Schizosaccharomyces pombe: one gene and its partner. The gene in region 1 interacts genetically with each later gene. Each region holds a gene or a part of one and is shown on either strand. Other genes may lie near its edges. The genes, in order: yam8 and pek1.

Evidence for each region.
Region 2: of yam8 (region 1) and pek1, changing one suppresses a phenotype caused by changing the other (phenotypic suppression), as found in Schizosaccharomyces pombe (one study listed by BioGRID).

Annotation. Positions count from the first base shown.
Region 1 is NC_003424.3:273,115-277,161, forward strand, and holds yam8 (plasma membrane stretch-activated calcium ion channel Yam8), read left to right. Parts: upstream 1-1,974; coding exon 1,975-3,435; 3' UTR 3,436-3,547; downstream 3,548-4,047. Other genes in the region: PAK-like kinase Shk2, read left to right, coding at 38-1,807; hem14 (protoporphyrinogen oxidase), read left to right, coding at 3,779-4,047. UniProt on the Schizosaccharomyces pombe protein: Calcium-permeable, cation-selective stretch-activated channel (SAC) that functions together with CCH1 to mediate calcium entry into cells. Required during mating.
Region 2 is NC_003423.3:4,310,706-4,314,917, forward strand, and holds pek1 (MAP kinase kinase Pek1), read left to right. Parts: upstream 1-1,737; 5' UTR 1,738-2,057; coding exon 2,058-3,149; 3' UTR 3,150-3,435; downstream 3,436-4,212. Other genes in the region: ATP-dependent RNA helicase Dbp8, read right to left, coding at 1-641, 731-854, 922-1,051; fit1 (CoA pyrophosphatase (FIT) family lipid storage protein), read left to right, coding at 3,783-4,212. UniProt on the Schizosaccharomyces pombe protein: Involved in the mkh1 signal transduction pathway that plays a role in cell wall integrity. Activates spm1/pmk1 via phosphorylation.

The DNA of each region.
Region 1 (4,047 bases):
GAAGCATGTATACCAAAACTATTGCATCGTTTTCAAAATGCTTTTAAGTGTAAGAGGCGTGCCGGTTGAAATTCCATCTCTCAAAGATACAAAGAAAAGCAAGGGAATCATTCGATCAGGATGGGTTATGCTGAAGGAAGATAAAATGAAGTATCTCCCTTGGACTAAAAAGTGGCTAGTACTTTCTAGCAATTCTCTGTCGATATATAAAGGAAGCAAGTCTGAAAGTGCTCAGGTTACGTTGCTGTTGAAGGATATTCAAAAAGTAGAGCGTTCAAAGTCTAGGACATTCTGCTTTAAATTGAGGTTCAAAAGTAGTACCAAAAATTTTGAGATTCAAGCTTGTGAATTGTCCGTGGCCGATAATATGGAATGTTATGAGTGGATGGATTTAATATCTTCTCGTGCGCTTGCTAGCAAAGTTTCAAGTCCGATGAATCCTAAACACCAAGTGCATGTGGGAATTGATAATGAAGGAAATTATGTCGGATTACCCAAGGAGTGGATATTGCTACTTCAGAGTAGTTCGATTACCAAACAAGAATGCATGGAGGAGCCGAAAGCAGTTATTCAAGCTTTGGATTTTTATAGTAAGCAGTTGGATACAACAAGCGAAACTAAAGATAGTTTTTCATTTTGCAAAGAGACACTGCCACGATCCTCTACTACATCGTATTCTATTCGCGATGCTGACAAACATCATAAACTCACGACATCTGGAGTTACTAAAATGAATATTACTGAAAGATGCAAGCCGAAGACAACCATACAGACGGATAAAAAGCATATCATAAGGCCTTTTATTGAAGACAAAAGTCATGTAGAATCTATCATGACCGGAAAAGTAACCAAAGTACCGGTCAAAGCAGATTCAAAGAACACGTTGAGTAGAAGAATGACTGATAGACAGGCTTTAGCCATGTTAAAAGACTCAGTTACTTCTCATGATCCTGTCGAATATTTTAATGTTAAGCATAAACTTGGCCAGGGTGCATCGGGATCTGTTTACTTAGCCAAAGTCGTCGGAGGAAAACAATTAGGTATTTTTGACTCAGTTGCAATAAAAAGTATTGATTTGCAGTGCCAAACAAGAAAGGAACTAATCTTAAACGAAATCACTGTCATGAGAGAATCGATTCATCCTAACATAGTGACATATTTAGATTCATTTCTTGTTCGAGAAAGGCATTTATGGGTTGTGATGGAGTACATGAACGCTGGATCTTTGACTGATATTATTGAAAAAAGTAAGCTTACAGAAGCACAAATTGCTCGTATTTGTCTAGAAACGTGCAAGGGAATTCAGCATCTGCACGCCAGAAATATTATTCACAGAGATATTAAAAGTGACAATGTTTTACTCGACAACTCTGGAAATATTAAAATTACTGACTTTGGATTTTGTGCTCGATTGTCTAACCGTACTAATAAACGAGTTACGATGGTTGGAACACCATATTGGATGGCCCCTGAAGTAGTAAAGCAAAACGAATATGGGACCAAAGTTGATATATGGAGTCTTGGAATTATGATTATAGAGATGATTGAAAACGAACCGCCTTATCTCAGAGAGGATCCAATTCGTGCATTGTATCTGATAGCAAAAAATGGAACTCCAACTCTTAAAAAACCTAATTTAGTTTCTAAAAACTTAAAATCTTTCTTAAATTCCTGTCTTACAATCGATACCATTTTTAGAGCTACTGCTGCTGAGTTGCTGACACATTCATTTCTTAACCAAGCATGTCCGACTGAAGATCTAAAATCTATCATTTTCTCTCGCAAAGCGAATACCCATATTAATTAGGTCCAAAATTTACTTTTATGATTATTTGAATATTTTTAACGATCCTTAATGATATACAACTTGCTAGTTTTTTAGAAATTTCAATTAACTTCTCAATTTGCATGTGCGAAACTTTTGAGCTTACTTTTGAATATTAAAGCCTTGAAAGTAATTACTAAAGGTTCTATATGTTTTTTTTTAGCACCCATTTAATTTTGAAGATACTCTTTTTCTGGTCGATAACTAGAAACATATTTGGCGCTACTTATACTAGCTTGCTGCTGAACAATACCATAAATGGTAATATAAATGATCAAAGCACTGCTTACTATAACTTAACATGGGAAGGAAACACAGCTTACAACGTTAGTCTAACTTTATCAACCTGCACTGCTTTTGATGGCGCGAACGATTTGATGTTATATATATCGAACAATACGTTTGACGAAGCTCTTCCTTTAGATAATTTTACGATTACTGCTTCTGAAAATGGTCTAGCAACGATATTTGTAACCGGCTACTCACCTTTATATATTGCTGTGTCCAGTGCTTTTTCTCAATTTGCTCCCAATTTTTTTGTCGAGTCAGGTGAATCTACTTTAGAAGGTAATAATGTGATTAATTATGAATTAGCTGCTGGAATTGACACTCCCTTTAGTCAATACAATGCAACTAAATTTCTGTTTGCCCAGGACACCGACTTTCAAGCAGCACTACTCATTACGGGAAATCTCACTACAAATGAGACCTCCATCATCCCTTCTTATGAGATATATGTCAACCCTTCTAACTCCACTTATGATAACACATTTAACAAATTTTCAAGTTCTTTCTGTGCTTTTCAAAACAACCCCTCAACTGTTAACACTAACAATGCTGATCGCTCAATGACCCTTCGTGGTCTCGGTCCTTTTGCTAAAGAACAATTTTATTTGAAAGGTTTGGATCCCAACGTCACTTACACAGCGTATCTAGTCGAGCCCAATATAGGGCAACCGGGTGGTACTGTTTACCCAGGAGTCACTTTTACCACAAAGACTAGTCCAGCTTGTCAATTGATCTACGATCTGCAGTTTTGCTCAGAAGTTGCTTATGCTGTGCCTGGAAATTCTAGTTTATTTTCTGCATCGGCATTGGCAGAATGGTATGATCAGCAAGCTTACGGATATTATCAAAACTTTACTTATACTCTCGATTTGATACCTTGTAATGCTACATCTTGGTCTGCGTATTCATTATTAAAAAATTGTAGTGATTGTGCCAACAGCTACAAAAATTGGCTTTGCGCCAGTGTCATTCCGCGATGTGCCGACATTAATGATAATTCTTCCTACTTAATTTACAAAAACTACGATTCCCGTTATCCACTTATTGACGAAGTAATACAACCAGGCCCCTATAAAGAGGTCCTTCCTTGCTCTTATTTATGCTATTCATTAGCTTCAAGTTGTCCTTTAGATTTAGGCTTTGCATGCCCGAAGGCTGGTTATGGCCTTGAGTTTTCTTATGGAGAAGTGAGCAATGTAACAGGATTAATCACATGTAATGCACCCGGAGTGGAATTTTATGAAAGTGGTTCTGCTCTTCTTAACATTTCATGGCGGACTTTTTTTATTTCCTTGATTTTCTGGATTTTGTTTGTCGAGTAATGGTCATTCGTTTATGTCGTTTTTGAGTATATTACTTGCACATATACATTTGTATTCATATGTGCTAGTGTATCTTTTATTTGCCTATCTAAAAATTTTACATGAAATTCTTAATAAAAAAATTGAAGACCTTGGAGATATCTGTCATCCAAAATCATCTTATTTATTTATTTATTTATTTAAAACTACGTATCTGTAAACTATCAACGTAATAAACTGTAACACGTCTTTTAACTAAATCACGTTCTTAAAACTACTGACTTTTGGATAAGTTGACAGAGTTGAAATCATGTCATTCCTCTTTCCCCCATCATTTTGGCATTTGCCTTGAACCAACAATTCTATGTCAATTGCAATTTGTGGAGGAGGTATAGCTGGTCTTAGTACAGCATTTTATCTTGCTAGATTGATTCCAAAATGTACTATTGATTTGTACGAAAAAGGTCCTCGTTTAGGTGGATGGCTTCAGTCGGTCAAAATCCCGTGTGCAGATTCTCCAACAGGAACGGTTTTGTTTGAGCAAGGTCCTAGAACTCTTCGTCCTGCTGGGGTTGCTGGCTTAGCAAACTTAGATTTAATTAGCAAGTTGGGCATCGAAGACAAGTTGTTAAG
Region 2 (4,212 bases), on another chromosome or scaffold:
TGATCCTTTCACGTTGTACCATTTCTGAATGAAGTTCGGTGACACGAAGCTCGAGCAATCGAAGAATAGAATATATCAATTCAGCAGTGCGAGTCCGATTTACAAAGATAATTGCAGACTTTTTAGCGTTCTCAGGAATCGTTAACAAATGCACCAAATAAGCTTCTCGTACTTGTGAGGAAACAAATATGTAACTTTGCTGCAAAGTAGAAGGTACGGAAATGTTATCAGTTTCAACTTCGTATAACCAAAGGGGAGGCTTATTATTTTTCTGTGGCTGATATTTGAGCTGACGAATAGCATCAGTAACAGTTGCAGTAAACAAAAGCGTTTGACGATCTTCAGAGGCTGGAAGAACAGAAAAGCAATCATCCAAGTCATCAGCAAAGGTAGGAGACAACAAACGGTCGGCTTCGTCCATTACCAAAAATTTTATTCGACGTAGTCCGGCTATCGTTTCTTCACCATTACTTCTAATCAAGTCAGCTAGGCGACCAGGAGTAGCTACAACAACATGGGGCCGTTTCGATAAATCAATAGATTGTCGTATCATATCCATGCCTCCAACGATGAGCGCATGCTTTAAATTAAGATTAGCACCTAAAGCAGCAAATTGTTCATCAATCTGTATTGCAAGTTCTCTGTTCGAGTTAGCTAATTGTAGTAGAATAGTTAACATTTATACTAATTTAAATTTTAAGAAAAAGTACAATAATGTTATATTTTATACCTGGTTGGTGTCAAAATAAGAGCAAATATTCCTGATGGATCCTTAGACCATTTTTCAATAATAGGCAAAGCAAAAGCAGCAGTTTTACCAGAACCTGTTTTAGCACCTCCAATACAATTACGTCCTATAAATTTTTATTTGTTAGGCACATTTTACACTTAATTTTACTTTATTAATTTTTGTAAGCATACCTTCTAAAATCTGAGCAATTACTCCTTCCTGAATATCTGTAGGTTCATATATTGCAAGTGCTTTTAGCGTATCGATAAGCCATGGCGATATTCCTAAATCAGAGAATGATTTTCTTGTATGTTCTGACATGTTTTCTCCCCGATGTAAGGGTTTTATTTAAATTAAATATAATGGTTACTGTACTGTCAAACCAAACTATTGGGATTCAACTTGTTGCCCTTACTGCAAAATTAACACGCTACGCTACATTACGCTGCTTTAGACATTATTGCTGATGCGACATTTTTCAATGACTTTTAGGTCAACATACACAGATAAAATCTTCATATGGTTAACATAAAGTTTTTATTGTTCTCTAAAATAAGTACAGATAGAACTCAAACTAATTTCTTCAGTTTGCTTGTAAGTTATTTAGTGCTTTTTCGGTAAACCAACGTGCAAAACACAATATTTGAACTTTACGTAGTTAATCGTGTTCTTATAATAGTTAACGGATTGTATGTAGTTATTATAAGCCATAGAAAATCATGCAATGATAAATATATTCTTTTATGTTTTCCTTGAACAAAATTAATTATAATTTTAGAGGTAGACATTTATAGTAAATAAAAGAAGAAAGCTCACAGGATATGATAGTCTCATAATTACATTAACTTATACTCGTAATGAACAATTCCCGAAGTCGTTTTAACAAAGGTCTCACTAATTCTAAAATAACGTATCTACATAGCTAAGTCCATAAGTTATTTAGTGAAGTCCTAATTTAGAAATGTAGGTTATACTAATAATGGTCAATCGTATTTAGTATAGCTTCCGAAAACTATACGATTTCTTCTAATAGAGGCCTCGGTTGTTTGTTTGCGAGGAATTAACTCTTCCATCAAAGTTTCCGTTTATAGTGCTATCCTCTAATTTTCTAATTCAGGAAGCAAAAACTTCAAAAAAGTTTATAATTGGTAGGTTTATTTAGCGGGAAGACCATACGTTAGAATTTACTTTCCTTGCGTTTTTGGAAAAGAAGAATAAAAATTGAAGTTTGTTAAAAATACAAACAAACTTTTGGACTTGGTATCAGTCATCTCTTGTCACTCTTTCTACAAATTGAAAAAATATCGAAGAAAGCGCCCATGCCTCTATGTCCAAAAAACCTGTCTTGAACTTAGATACCAGTAATGGGTTCTCTGAAGAATATATAAGTCATCCTGAACGTAATGACAATCAAGGAATTGTCGAGATTACAGACCTGGTGTTTTCTAGCGAGTCGAAATTAACTCAGCGAAAGGAGAGCCGGGATAGTAAAACATTTGTTCCTTCCTTTCTGGAAGAACTTGATGATGATCACCTACATGAATTGGTTACAAATGGAGGTATTTTGTACATGAACAGTCTAGGTGAAGGTGTTAGTGGCTCTGTAAGGAAATGCAGAATTCGTGGGACTCAGATGATTTTCGCTATGAAAACTGTATTAGCTGCTCCGAATACCGCTTTACAAAAGCAACTCCTTCGAGAGTTAAAAATCAACAGAAGTTGTACCTCTCCTTACATCGTTAAATATTATGGCGCTTGCTACAATAACGCAGAGTGTCAGTTAAACATAGCTATGGAATATTGCGGAGCAGGATCTCTCGACGCGATATACAAACGCGTACGCAGTCAAGGTGGACGCACTGGAGAACGACCATTGGGCAAGATTGCATTCGGTGTCCTTAGCGGTTTAAGCTATTTACATGACAGGAAAATAATACACCGTGATATTAAGCCATCAAATATCCTTCTGACGTCAAAAGGTCAAGTGAAGTTATGCGATTTTGGTGTATCTGGAGAATTGGTTAACTCTCTCGCTGGCACATTCACTGGAACTTCGTATTACATGGCGCCTGAACGAATTTCTGGGGGATCTTATACTATATCGTCAGATATATGGTCTTTGGGTTTAACATTGATGGAGGTCGCATTAAACCGGTTTCCATTCCCTCCCGAGGGTAGCCCCCCACCAATGCCTATTGAATTGCTCTCGTATATAATAAATATGCCACCTCCCCTTTTACCTCAAGAACCCGGTATTAAATGGTCGAAATCCTTTCAACATTTTCTATGCGTGTGTCTGGATAAAGACAAAACTCGTCGTCCTGGACCCCAAAAAATGCTTACCCATCCTTGGGTTAAAGCGTTTGAGAGAATTCATGTGGACATGGAAGAGTTCCTTCGTCAAGTCTGGTCTGATTAGAAGAAATAGTGTCATATGTTAGCACTGTAAGTTGATAAATTCTGTTTGAAAATTCTTATGCTAAATTTCTTTACATTGGAGAATGCATAATCTGATTAATGGCAAAATATTATGAGTCTAACTGTCTTCCAGTTCGCTTGTTGTATGAAATAAATAGGAAAGTCATAATAATATATACTTTTTATTAATTGCTAACGGTTTTTCTAATTTTCTTTATACAAATACCTCCTTTATAGTAATTTTATGGGTTTAACATTTTTAACAGAAATAATTTTGGCTTGATTATGCATACTCAAATCGTAGCGAGAAATGATAGATTTACGCCTTGCTAGCTTTTTAACAAAAATAGGCAAAATAGGCGTTATATGGCAACTTAAAAAACGAAAGAATTCGTATATTTAATTATCCACAATTAAGGACTATTTCTTTTCGTTCTCTTATAACGTGAGGCAATGATTCGTTTTTTTTCTAGTCTACGCACGTAAGTTGGTGGTGTAACTACACCAAACTTCCCAGGGTATACATGTCCTTAACTCTTTCAATGAATTAATTGCTTTTCACTACACCGTTCTATCTTTATTTTTAAGTTTAATTTGTATACGTTGTCTGCCTAATAAAAATTATTTAAAAAAAATGACTGAAAAAACTGCTAGTCATTATTGGAATGAAGAAACCTCTATATTGAAGCTTCGTCGCAAAGATATACTTCTGTTTGAAATATATGCCACTACACTTCTTCTAGGTAGCATTTATAGCATTTATGTTGACAAATGGTCGATTACCTCTTACTTTGGAAACTCGAAAAATTTGATTAATTTGATTTTTGTAAAAAGAGGCTGGTTCTGGACTTCTTTAGTATATTTTTATCATGCTTGGGATCAAAAGAGAAACAAAATTGACTTCAAGTTTATTTCAAGGTATATAGTGGCCACTCTATGGTGGATGTTTGTAACCCAATGGTTTATAGGACCTGGCCTGATTGATAGAACCTTTGCATTATCTGGCGGAAGTTGCAAAAACTTTGATGGTGATTCATCTGTGTTCATTCCACTTACCGCCTCCA